Drosophila melanogaster: one gene and its partner. The protein of the gene in region 2 interacts with the protein of the main gene of each other region in a pairwise test. Each region holds a gene or a part of one and is shown on either strand. Other genes may lie near its edges.

Evidence for each region. Proteins that work in one complex are often made in the same cells at the same time.
Region 1: the proteins of lbl (region 2) and CG13131 interact in a two-hybrid assay, tested with the Drosophila melanogaster proteins (one large-scale study listed by BioGRID).

What each region holds. Positions count from the first base shown.
Region 1 is NT_033779.5:10,014,504-10,021,710, reverse strand, and holds the start of CG13131 (uncharacterized protein), read left to right. Parts: upstream 1-4,247; 5' UTR 4,248-4,379; coding exon 4,380-5,547; intron 5,548-5,601; coding exon 5,602-7,207.
Region 2 is NT_033777.3:21,431,115-21,438,321, forward strand, and holds the start of lbl (ladybird late), read right to left. Parts: upstream 3,020-7,207; 5' UTR 2,854-3,019; coding exon 2,151-2,853; intron 1-2,150.

The DNA.
Region 1 (7,207 bases), on a different chromosome or scaffold from region 2:
GCCGTTCCTTCCCATGAAGCTTCACTGTTTTGTTTCAAGCAATTTAACAGCTTTTGGGTAAAATAACAAGCCCGCCAAGCCAACCAGCCAACCAACCAACTAGCACACACACACACACACACACACATCACATCACAACAAACAAACTTCGCACATTCCGGGCAGCAAAAAGTCAGGCCCAACAATGCGCCACTAGAAGCACCCGTTCAATCTGCATCCCCCAGATCTCGCATGGCCTTGGGAAACTAGAGGGGAGATGCAGATGCGGATGCAGGGGACTGGAGACGGGCACCACGAATCGGGATTCAGGATTCAGGACCCGGGAACAGCGAACAGCGTACGGAGACAGACGTTAAGGGCAGGGTACTGCATATTTTTGCAACACAAAATAAACCGCAACAGCAGCAATTTGCGTCGGTTGTTAGTTTGGAGAGTTGCTTAAAATTTACATGGCGCTGTCCACGCACACATGACTAGACAGCCGATCTATGGACTATATGAACCACTATGGAGTATGGAGTATGTGTGCAGTCGACGGAGGGCGAGGATGCGGATGCGGCTGCATATGCATATGCATGTGTGTGGCCACAGAGGACATTGCTGCGCCATAACTGAATAAAGTCCATTTTTAAACAATTACCTTTAGAAGTGCTTTTATTTCAGCGGAAGTTGCTGGCGAACCCGAAAAGTAGCTACGCCACGAAACATCCCTACACATAGTCGATGGAATTATGCAGTTCCCGGAGGTGTGTATTGAAGATTCTCGATTAACAGTCATTAAAGCGGAACGGATGGGATTTACATTCCTGGGCAAACGCTTGTCGAGCCATCAGATTCTATCCCATACCGCAATCAATCAAATCCCATCTAGGCACACATTCCGTCACATAGGGGAGCAATCAGGAGCACACCTTCACTTCTGCCACATGCAGACCACATGATCATCTTGTGCACTGAAAGAAAGCAGGCAAAAATGGGTCATTTTAATAAATATCAAAAGAATCTGATACTAGCTAAGCCAATCTAATTTGCAGTAATGAGATAGGAGATCATACGTTCTAAAACTGTCATTAAAGTTAGATCAAACTAGAGAAAAGGTTACGCCTATCAGATATCCATTGATTCGTGAATATGTTACTCTACATTATGTTCGCCGTGTGAATTGCACTTGCAAATCAAGCGCAAGTTTTGTGGTGCAAGGCACACGGCGTTCTTCGAAGGCAAACTTCGCCCCCACCACTTCAGCGGCATCAGGAGTCAGGTTCGTGAGTGGGCCACCACGGCGGATACGTGATGTGCCTGTGCAACAAACAGGAACTATGTATAATAATTGTGAGCGAAGGACACACGGAGTTTAGCAAGAAGTGCTCGCTTTTATTTGTTGAGTGCCTTTCAAGGTTGTCGTCTCGCTTAGAGATCCCAGACAGCGCTTTCCACTTATAAAGGTACTTCCCCCCTCCCCAAAAAAAAAAAAGCAAAAAAAAAGGTCGAAAAGAGTTGCATGCAATCACCAGTTGCAAGATGAGAAACATTAAACGGAAAATACGTTGTGATGGGACCTCAGTGCACTGAAGCGGGGTTACGCATGCGTAACACAACAGCCACGCCCACCGCCCAGCATTTTGTGGCAGAAACACTCCAACTCCAACTCCAACATTGAATTATGAAATGTGAAAACTGTGTTAAATAAGTAAACAGGGGATGCGTTTGTGCAGCACAAGTCCTGCTGAAAAATAGACACTGCCAAGTCACGTAGCCACGAACTGAATTTCATATTTCATGGGGCAGCCCAGCCGCCCAACCGAGTGGAAAAAAAAACAACGACCATTTAGGCAACCATCCACACCCACATACCAGCTCCACTTTTCGATGCTCATACCCAAAAGGACGCCCCATTCCAGCAGGACTTCGTGCAGCAGTTGCAATATTTGATCTAAAATATGTATGCTCGGGCGGAAATTGTTTTTGTGTTAAATGGCGGAAGCGACGGGGCATTGTAATTAAAATTTGCTTAAAACTTAATGGCAAGTATTTAATATACAATTGGAATTTACCAAAACGAATAGCATGTGGAACTGCTCGAGAATCGCTTTCGTAATTAAAGTTGAGGTGGAATAGCTGCGATTGTGGATAATTATATATGCAGTTTTTTACCTTTGATCTGTGGCGCGGTGGAAAAAAACAAAAAGACCATCAGCTACCGTACGCATTCAACGTATGCATTGCATTTTCCGAACAACTTTTCACTTTTTTCCTATTGCAAGCTGAAAATATAACACCACCCCTTCCCCCCCCCCCATCCTTTTGGCCAGAAGCAATCCCCACCATTGGCAACCCGGATTTTCCGCCCCTGCAGCTGCTGCCCTTTGACCCTCAACACTCGCACCGTTTTGCGTATGTGCATGCCTCAAATAGTTGCACCACACATTAAATTTCCGGTCGGGCGTCCGTTCCTTAAATGCAGAAGGAAATGCAATAAACGCCAAACTAAAAGCCACGCCAAAAATGTACAAAAATTACGGCTGGCGAAGCCAAAGCAAAAGGGGCATAATGGGTGGGTCCATGCCAGGGGATGGGGTCATGGAAAATGCCATCATGGCCAAAGAAAAATGCCGAAAATGAAATGACGCTAAAAGTATCGCAATAAAAACGCATTAAAATGCCTCACCAGGGAGTAAATAATTTCTGTTGCTCCAATCGCAGACATCGATTTGACTTTGTCGTCATGTACAGGGTAAGAAACGCTTTCCAAGATCAAGGACGAAATGTGATTATAAACCCAGAGGTATAATTAAAAAGTTTTTTATCTCAGAAATGTCAAAAAATTGTATATGCGAGGTTAAAGGTATCTTAAAATATGCTACGAGTATAGCACTATTTGAAACATCTTTTCAAGTGCTTTCAACATAAAGATGCAATAGTTTTGCAATGCATCAGTTATTGAAATGCAATAAGTTCGTATTTTTTTTTAAGTGTCCCTCGTAGTCGAATGTATTGAAATACAATCGATGCTGAACAATTAGGCGCCGATTCGGAGGGACTATAGTCTGTAGTCTGGGAATAATATTTTTATGGCCAGTGGCGCGCATAAATCCCGTCCAGCCGGCGTGTAATTCAAAATGGACAGAGGAACGTGCGACGGGAACTTGGTAATTCCCGGCAGGATATCGACTGGTTGCATAATTTATCGTCCTGCTTGATTTGAGTGCATAAAGTCGCTGCCCAACGCCTTGGCCTCAAACTCTCAAGTTTGCTCCTCAAAATCTGCTCAATGAGCCGAAGATGCAGAGCATTTTGTAAGGCGATGCGCTTTTAATGTGTTTATTGACTTGGCTTGGCCAACGGGTTGGCTCGATGATGGGCGGGAGATTAGGCCAATCCATCAAATGCTATAAAGTTAATTAAACAAGATGCTGCCGAAGGAGTCGAGAAATTGGGTCAAGCTGCATGCACCTTGCGCTTGCTAAATGCATTTTGCATATTTATTGCAGTAAAAATTGAAATAAATTCCAACTACGATTGAATGGCATAGTGAAGTGTGCTTGTCAATTATAAGTGTTAATACATATATTTGTAGATATGTTTGTGTGTGTGTGCTGTAATCCTTTTCCCCGAGCAGTAATTGCATATGAAACATGCATTTTCACTTAAAATGGCATGAAACTAATCTCCTTTTGCAGGAAGTGGGCGGGTATGCATACTATATTAAATAGTATTTTGCGAACTGTTGTTCTCGAAGGACGCTGTCTGGCTTTCAGCAAAATCTACTTTATTCGAACAACAGTGCAAAAAACTCAATAATACTCCATTGAATGCGTATATTAAAAATGCAGCAGAAACTTAATTAAATTTCCCAACTGAGTGAGTGGCTAGAAACACGTACAATCAGAGCCATTCGGCCACACAAACTTCAATTGCAAATTACAGAAGCCGCAAACAAAGACAATAGAAATTTTAATAATTCCAGAACATACAGCTTGAATGAAATTAATTAAGAATATAGTCGATTGTGAGTTCTGAAAGAATCAATCGGATTTAATGATTTAATAACAAGTTACTTTAAAGGCCGAAAAACTGCTGGTGCAAATGTATCAATTTTTTTAGCCTTTTAGCAGTTTTTTCGTCATTTTACCATCAATACTCACATAAAAAACCTAATTTTCGAAACATAAGCTCGAAATAGAGTTGACAAATATGTCTAAATATTTTAAGTACCCGTTAACAACGAACATATAGACTATATATTTAGGAATGTGTGATAAAACTAAAAGTTAAGAAAACATATTTGACGAAAATTGCCGGAATCTATGTGCCATTTCGTTGCTTGTTAAGTAAGTCGACCTGATTGGCCGTCTAAAAATCAAAATAGCTGGCTTTTGATGTTTCGCTTCTACAAGTTGTACTCGTTGTACATGAACAACATGACCAGTAGTGGAGTTGCATGGCCGCGGGAGTGGTGCCTGTGCGGAAAACTGCCGCGGGCGGTGCTCCACATCCCGGTGAACCATCGTCTGATCTGCCAGGTGTGCGGATTGGCCAGGCGCCCCCAGGCTGGACTCGATTCCTCCAGCGATAAGGATGCAGATCAGAGCACCGAGGAGCAGAAGACGATTATACCAGAGCCCAGCCACGTGGAGGAGCCCAAAAAAAGCCAAAAGACTCGGGTAAAGGTAACCATTAGGGGCAAGAAGCCGAAAGCCAAGAATTGTTGCCGGACAAATTGCCACAAGTGTGGTGGCTTGGCCAAAGCTGAAGTTGGCCAGGAAAGTACTGAAGCACCCAAAGAGATGAAGTGCAAACGGTACCCGGGGCGTCATGGCTTGCACTCGAAACCGAAGGGAATGATGAGTCGTCGACAGCTGGCGCCCAAAGCACCGCCACCTTCGACGCCGTCGTCATCTCCAACGCTATCGCCATTGCCTTCATCACCGCCATCGCCCACAGCACCACCACCACCACCACCACCTCCGCGTCAAGAATTGGAATCACCACGTTCGGAGATGCCAAGCCTGGTGGCCATGGCCCATAACGTTTTTAATCCAAAAAACAGCCCGCTACAGAACTACAACAATCTATTTGTCAGTAACTTTATACCCTTACAAAGTCCCATTACGGATACCTTCGGGGGAGCTATATCCAAGAGGAGCAGGAACAGCATTCGTCCACCACGCAGCCACAGGAGTCGCCCGCTGCCACCACTTTCCAAAGTCTTAACCAACATCTTGAGCAGCCAGAACTCGACGGATGACAGAGAGATGGGTGGTGGATTGAGTAGCTCCAATTGTAAGGACTCGCAATCGACCGATTCCGAGCTGGCTAGCCAGTTTTGTCCATTTGATCACTATGAAGGTCCATCCGAAGATGCTCTTGTCGTGAATAACGCTCGTTATATGCTTCATCGACCGAAATCACTGCACATCGAACCACGACAGGATTTGCGCAACAATCGCATTGAATCGTTGAACTTTCAGTTGAGCTCTACTAAGGACACAAAGAGTCCAATCGCTGACAATCTATCAGGCATCCTATTCATGGCGGATTCAGTTCGTAAAAATCTTAAGAAAACCATTGATAACATTGGAAACGAATGCCATATTTCAGGTAAAACCAGCCCAGCCAAGAACTTGGCCTCCAAACCGGCAGTTACTCAGCAGAACAATCGGGAAAATAAACCGGAAGCGTTGGAAGACTTCGAAAGATCTTCCATTTTAACCTCAATCATGGACAAAGTTTTCAGCTCACAGGAATCGAAAAGCTCAAATGGAAACTGCGATGATGACAAGATACCAGAATTGGAGGATATTAATAAGCCGATCAACGACATGTTCGTCGAGGACCCTGAATCGGTTTCTTTGAAAAGTAATGTATCAAATGAGCACAGTGTATTTTCTTCAAATAAAACAAACAACTATAATGATTATTCCAAGCCCGTTTCAAAAACACTAAGCATAAGCAATTCCATTTGGGAACGATTTTGTGATAACAAACCCAAATCGACATTATATAAGTGTGCTCGCTGCGGACAACAAAAGCATCGTGAAGATATAGTTGCTAAAATTAAAATAAAAGATAGTAGAATTCCAAAAAAATCCGATGCGAATCAAATATGGCTAAATAAAAAAATAGGATGCGCCATAAAGCAAAAGCTCAATAGCTTAAGATCCTTTTCTGGAGCACAGGAATGTAAAAAACACGAACACGAAGGGCAGAAATCCCTAAAACTAGCAGATCAAGGAGTAATTCCCGAGATTTTTAGAGAAACCCTACGTATGCAAAAACAAAAAGCTACGAATGACAAACCAAAAGAGGAAAATTTAAGACTGCAATCCATAAATACAAACATTCAAAGGAAAGCACAACGAATTTATCAGGATGATTCTTCGGAATCACAGACTCCAATAAAAGATCATAGCACTTCAAAATGTTTAAATCTACAAGAAAAAATAGATCATATCCCACCGAGGGATAACAATCCAGCCAAAGTAAATGATCAATCAAAGATCACTCCTTCCAAGATACACCACGAATGTCTTCAAAAACGACCCAGAATCGCACTTAAAGTTGTGAATTTAAACCAATCTCAAATATCGGATAATAACTTTCAATTACGTAGACATAAGGAGCCATCGTTCAACTGGGGAGTGATACAATTCTGCGAGACTGTATCTCATAGGAGTCTAGTTATCCCCAAAATACTGGTTCCTACTTATGTTGGTGAGTTGGTGAATATCGGTCAAGCCACGAAATGCTATATCAAGGAGAATATTCTTCCGGATGATCCGCCTTCGTCTCTCTTTGAGTTTCGCATCCCTGACATTAGTCCCAACGAGCTGCTATCCTATCGAAGTTCGGATAACATTAGCGGAAGCTGTACTCCAATACCTCATATAGCGAGTCCAAAGGAGCAACCTATAAACCACAAAGACCCGTGTCATTCTGTTGATCCATCTCCGCCAGAAAAATTCGAAAGTCGTAGCACTCTATACGAAAATCTTGAATTGTCGTTCACCACACGAAAAGCAGATAGTTTTAACCATCCCAATGACAAATTACCTGATTATGAAAATCAAAAGAGTAACAAATGCATGAAGGCAAACGAGAACAGAAAGTCCAAGTCCACAGAATTAACAGATGCTAATTTTAGCTCCTTAAGTGACAACAATATGAGCTATAAGATAGAATTAGATGGTTTAAGAAAAGAAGAGAA
Region 2 (7,207 bases):
ATGCTCGGCTGCGTCGCAGTCTTTGGGTCTTCTGGTGTTCTGGTCCTCAACTGCCATGGCCGCCGCCTTTTTGTCAAGTGGGAAAAGTTTTAGTAATTAAATTGTAATTAGGGATGCATCCGCCGCTCTGTGCCGTTTGTGCGTTCAATAACGCGGCTGTCTGTGCCAATTGTCTTGGCGTTTCATCAAGCCCACATTTCAGCGGCAGCCACCGACCGTGCTGATCGCCCCACGACCGGGCTTTCTTTGTGCCCAAGTCGCCATCCGTTTGCCGGTATACCCTGTAAGAGGGTAGTTCCCCCAGTAATTATCCACTTTCCATTTTCAATTGGCGGAACCATAGAAATTCTACATACTAACTGAGAAAATGTAAGGAAACCGTTCTACGATCTAAAAGAAAGAAACCCTTCTGGCAACATTCGACTCTGCTGAAACGTGTTAAAGGGTACCCATTCTTCGGTGACGTAATGTGGCAGGTATCTACGCGTAATTGACAAGACCTAACGACAGGTCCATTGTTCAAATAGCTGCAACTTTTCAGCCATTTTCATTGTAATTATTTTGTATGTGCTGCCTGGGCCTCTTTATGGCTTATCTGCCGGCAATCGTCATGAGCGGTGAGCAGGCCCAAGCCCCAAGTGGGGCTACGATGGCGTTGCAATGGGAGTTGTCGCTGCTCCTAATTACCAGGCGGAAGTGTCTCAGATCTTTCCCTCAACTGGCCGGTTACGGCTTTTGATCAGCCGGGCAAATTGCAGGAGGCAGCCGTAGAAAGGGTTCAGTCCATGGCCAACCTCGCGTCTTCTCTTCCACTTCCACACCGGATGCTGTCTTGGGAAAAAGCAATACAATTTTCGCAAACTGCGGCGCTTAAGTGCAGCTCGGCGATAATCATAATCATCCCGGGCGGCACTCAATGCCAGTAGCAGTTGATCAACCGATCAAATCAGCTGGTGCTGATTAGATGGCTCTGTGGCAACCGAACAACCCAACAGCTCAGCAATCCGGCAATGCGGCAATCTAGAGTGGAGCACGAACCAATTGGCTGATGTACGTGCGGCGCGTAAATTCAATTTCAGTAGCTGATGAACAAAAGCGCAGACCATGGGTTCGCTGATGGATTGCTGGTCAGTGCACTCGGAAAAAATATGACAGCCGCTGTGGGAAGATATTTTAATAGACATTCATGGCCAATATTGTTTTACACCGAAAAATGATGGAAATTGATTTGCAGATATAATAAATAAAGAAATGTTCCGTTCAGGATATTTTTAAATACTCTTAGTTAGTTGTTTGTACAATAATTTGTATCAAGGTGATGTGTTTTCCAAACGAAGATATTATGAGGAATAGTTTTCCCAGTGACTCCCGGCAGTTTCTGTTTTTATTCCGAGTGTGGGATAAATCGGTTTGCGTCTGCGACTTAACGAGAAATCAACGCCGCTAAGCAAATTATGCCGAACGATACGCATGCGCCAAAGCCATCAGACATCAGCCATCAGCTGGAGTCTGAGTTCGAGTTGGAGCAGCAGCTCGCCGCAGCTAGAGCATCATCATATGACCGGGCTGGGGCCTTCGAGTGGATCTGGGTATGGGTATGGGACTGGGACTGGGTCTGGGTCTGGGAAAGGCAATTGCCATCAAAGGCGATGCCGAGCGAGCTGCCAGCCGGCTGGCCTGAAATTGATTTAGCCACCTCGGACGAGCAGGCTGACCTCACTACTGTTTTTACGCCTTAAGCAGAATCTCATCAAGACGTAATGACAACAATTGATCAATCGCTGGCCAGGCTAATGGTTATGATGGGTCTCGTTGGGAAATCAGTTTATATTAAAATGTAATTTGATTGCGGTTGTGCACACAGAGGTGAACGCGGAGTAAGTAATTCTACAGTTTGTGGATATTTTTATGTTGAAGATATTCCAATCATATATAACAAAAAGCTCATATACTCAGGGGTGTTGATAAAACTTGAGAAAAAGCTGATGAAATATCTATTATCTCTGCACTATAATTTTGTTTGTACTTTTTTACATATAGTAAATATGAAGAATATGATTTTTGGTTGTCCACTGGGTTCCGCAGTTTAAAAGCAAAGTCTTCTTCTGTTTGGATTTAGAGGAATATATTTTCTCTTGAAAACTACTCACCCTGCTCTTCGTCAAAGTTTTTGGTGGACAGCTGGAAGAGGGCATCCAAGGGAGTGTCTCCACTTGATTTGCTGGCCCCCTTTGGTTGTTCCTCGGGCGACTTCTTAGGAACCTCCATTCTGTCCTCTTGGGAACGTTTTTCCACTTTTTCCGCCTGGGTGGGACTGCAGCATTCGGTGCTGCCATTGCTGCTGCTTGATCGCTGGGAACGCTCTGAACTGCCGTCCTCGGAGGCAATGATCGCGGGATTCAGGGTCATCTGCCGGAGGAGTTGCGCCTGTGCCTGGAAGTGCTCCTGGAGCTGGCGCTGGTAGTCCCAGGCCAGTCGCTGCTCATAGCTGTGGAGCAAAGCGGGCGATAAAAATGTATGTAGTGCAGCCGGCGGAGGGCAATTCGGCACCAAGGGTATTTGCAATCTTTCGTTGATCAGAGCCAATGGAGCAGGTACTCCTGGTAAAGCATTGGGAATGGCAATTCTCTCCGGCTTCTTCTCCACACGATCCTCTTCATGCCCTCGCCCCAGGATATCGGCAATGGAAAAGCTCTTGACCCTGACGGGTGATGACTTTTGGCGGTCATGTTCCAGGCTAATAGGACTCCTCAAAAGCCGCAATCGTTTCATATTCAACGATCTCAGAGGCGGTGGACTGGGCGAACCCACCGAAACATCAGAGTTAGCGGGACTGGGAGTTCTTTGCGGCATCTCTAGGTGTATTTTCCTTTGGCCACTCAGCACATCCTGGCTGTATCCTTACGGCTTAGCTCCAAACTCTTTTCTACGGGCGATTAAAAACGCGTCGGCAAAACGCGCGGCTGTCACACGAAAAACGTCGGCACAACGTGCAACACAAACACCAACAACGAAAATGGCTCGTGGCCAGAATGCGATGCTAATGCTGCTCGGCTCTCTGTCTCTCTTTCTTGGCCAAGCTCTCTCAACTGCTTTTTGGGGCCTCCAAACTGGTTGGCACCCATGACGTCACGGACTCGCGCAGCTGCGCAGCTTGTCTAATTGGAAACGCCGCCTCGCTCTCGCCAAGGGGGCGTGCCAGCAGAAAAGAGAGAGATGGAGAGAGGGAGAGCTAACCAGAGGACCAATAGCAGTTGGTCGAGGGCCATACAGACCCCCTCACCCGACCAAAAGTCGCTGTCAACGTGCGAACGTCATTAATTTGTACAATTTGACATGCGCTCTCTTTCCTCCCTCTCTCTCTCTCTCTCATTCTCGCTCTCTCTCTGGGGCGGCACTATTTCCCTCTCTTTCCCGTCGCTTTCCAGGCGACTGACTGCGTTAATTATCGTAATTGTTGGCTCACCCGCTTTTTCGCAGCTCTCTTTTGGCCCACTCAATTGTCATCAATAATGATGTCTCGTTGTACCGTTGGCTTCGACTCCTCATCTATTTTCCACTGGAAAAACAAGCCTCTTCGAATCCGTGTTTCGAGACCTCTGATGCACTGGGAAAAACAGTTCCCCGAACTGACAATCCTTCGTTCAAGAACGTCTTTTTGAAAGAGGTTTATTTGTCATAAATAGATGTGCCTATGAAAAATATTATAGTAATGTAAAAATGTCTTTCTCCCTCAAACTTCCTCAACATAAATTAAAAAGCGAACGAATTCTGCACCTCAAAAGTAATAACCTATAAATGGCACAACATGACAGTTACTTTGCTCTTCACATTTATTACTTGTTAACTTGAGATCGTTGTTAGATCTAATAACTAGCTGCATCTTGTTAGTTAGTTAGTTTCTCTACACACAATTTATGATTATATTATTTTATATTTTCCCATTTATATTTCCATTTGTTTAAGTGCATTTTGCTGGCACACATTCGTTTGTCTTGCCACTTCCCTCGCTTCCCACTCCACAGCTCAACTCAATGCATTTCCAAATTGATTGCAACTTTGGTCCGCTCGTTGTATCACGTATGCGCCCTGTATGCGCCTCGCTTCGTTTGTTTGTCAGTGTCAGTTTTTTATTCAATTTCGCTCCGCTGTTTGTCCTGGTTTTCTTTTTTATTTCTCGCTTTTCCTTGAATTTTGCATGCAAATGTCTATTTAACTGCATTGCGCCCTTTGCCGGTGGGAATGTGACTGAAGAGTCGGCTAAGTGAAATGATGTAACTGGCGAGCCGTAATCGATAATGGGTTCTACACTGCCCTTTGAAAACGAGTATAATTGATTATTTCGAGATGGGAAAAGAAATCAGGGGAAGTGGCAATTTCAACAAATTTGTGTTTGTATCTGTTTATTAAAGCGCGGAGCATCAATTACCAATGATTATTGGGCTCATCAAGGGCTTACAACAAATTGGACTTTTACACTACATAGTATGGGCAAATTAGCTTTTAATGTTTAACGTATAAAATTACAAAATAATAACTTGATCCAGCAAAAGTACACAGGTACCCAGCTGACAAAATGAGTAGCACAGTATGTTAATATAAAATCCAGTTTATTCAGTCTCTTGAAAGGGTGTTGTTTAGATGTATTTTACCCGAACCCTACATCGCAATTTATGACGCTGAATTTGCATAAGGGCCCTTCTCCAATCCCTTCGACTGCCCCCTATTTTGGTGGCAAGATGGCCGCGATGTTTGATTAATGCCTACACTTGACTGACTAAAGTTGACGAGCCAGGGCATTCTCTCCTTTCGCTTGCCTTGGAAGTGAGAAATTGACGGGGCTTGGGAACATTCGCTATCGCTATTGCCTTCATATTCAAAATCAATTATAAAACGACTCTTAATTGGGCGCCTCAATAGACGAGACACGCCCTGTCAATCATAATTAGCCATCGCCCCTAGGAAGCGAACCACTCGAGCCGGCACTCAAATCCATTCCCATTCAACCGATCCGACACGCCTCTAATTCTGCAAATTCATAAGCCAAATGTATCGGCTCTATATCCTTTCATTAGGCGACCCAAGATGGCGGACCCGTGTTCATTTAAACCTCATAAATAGCAAAAGTGTTTATTGTCGCATCTGGCAAGCCCAAATCCCCGGAGAGCTCTCTTCACCACGGTCCTCGTGTATTTGTGTACATTGTCATATTGTCATATTGCCCGGGGCGGGGATGGACGGGGGTTTGAGCCGTGGCTTCTGCCAGGGTGATCGGGGATGTCGGAGCAGGAGTCAGTTGTTAATAAAGTCATTGCCGTTGTGTCAAATTCGTCACGCCCCTTCGGCGACTTCGAGAGTGCTGCTGGCAGTGCATTAATGTCGCCCTTTGTTTTGCCGAGTCGCTCCGATCCGATCCTCACCAGAGCTCGAGATCGAGTTCGCTTCCCGTGGCTGACGATGATGAAGTTGTGCCAGCCAGTTGTCAACAATCAGCGCTCAGCGCTCCCAAAACTGCATGCCAATTATAGCCAGTTCGCAGCTATCCTCAAGCCAACCTCAACCTTTCAGCTGCGCCCGAAAGAAGAAGGAGAATCTGTGACGAATGCGCTTATGGCCAAAGCGATCCTCGCCTTATCATCGAGTAATCTTCGACACTTGGGACAGCTGTCAGCGTTTTGCCAACTCATTATGCAGATTTCGACCACAAATGCGACACGAAAATGTCGAAAACAATTTACTGAACGCGACGAACAACATTTGTCAATGCGGATCGGATCCGTCTGTCTATTAAGACCAGCACCGGAGATCCCTCAACTTAAGTAGTTTGGCGAAGCCGCAAGACCACACAGAGAGAAAATATTACAAGCCGATTTTGTTAAATGAATCTAAATCCTTATCGATCAGGTTGGATATCTAAAATAATTCTACAACAGTTATATGTATCTGTTAAACGAAGCATATCTGTAATTACAATTTCATCTTCGATGTATAAAAGAAAGAGATATAAATCACACAATTTCTCTCTGTGCAGATACGATGAAACTTAGCACGAAGTGACACCAACAACCGACTTTCGAGCTACCGCATAAAAATTATGGCCTGGAATGAAATGCCCCAGCGTTTATCCACAAGATACACACAAAAGTGCCGCGCCCTGCGGCACGGTTGAGAATGGACCTCAACCGAAGTTTGGGGCAGTGGCAATTTGTATATCTTTGTGATAAATCAAAACATTATCAATAATAAAATCGGTAGCCGTTTGCCACTTGGAAGAGTTTGGGGCGAAATTTGTCGGCTTTTTGTTGTGGTCAGAAAACCGAAAATTCGAAAATCCCAAACTTCAAGCATTTTTGAGTGCTAGTGCTCGTGTGTAATTTGTATGCTAATTCAGCATCGGGTTGAATGTCTGATGAAGCTTAATGTCATCCAGAGGTGGATCAAGCCAAAAAGTGTGGAGGGGGGGTCCGACTAAAGTGACATCCATTAACACTTCCCTCTGTTTGTAGGAGCTGTGAATCTTTTGATTTTCCAAATAGCCGTCCGCCGCCTTATCGGTGATGTAGCGGTACAACTGTGGCGGCTGGCGTCAACTTATTGCCATCAAACGTATTAAGTGGGCCCCATAGCATCGAGCTTTGTCCGCGAACGTGTCCGGCGAATTCCGAGCTCCGTTGACGGACACTGAAGAACCTGCTGCTGGAGGCGCCTACGTGTGTGTTCCCTGCGAGATGGGCTAAGTGGCTGATTTTGATGGGTTTTCGGGTGGGAGGGGGATCGAGGGTTCGATCAAGATGGGAATGTGATTGGCTTTGGCGGCTTCAAGCGTGTGATCTTATCGTGATATAAATTAGTCGCTACCAGAGTGGGGAACCACCAAGACTGGAAGATATTCAGCTTGGGTGATTAATAGCGGGTTGAATCAAATCAAATGAAGTGGATTGAGTGTTTATGAAACATATAAAAACTTACTCTTATTATCATAAAATGCTACCCCAATTACGCAATCCTTCTATAAGGAACATATTTCCGAATCTTACTTTTATAAGAATATTTTGTGTTGGTGCCTACAATTTATTGATGTGGAACATTGACTTCTTTAAAAAAAAAAGCCAATGTAATTTCAACCCTTTAAGCCACATTGTTTGGGGCAAATGTTAATGTTGCCTTCCATAATTTACAACTTCATTAGTGCTTAGTAAGATCGCAA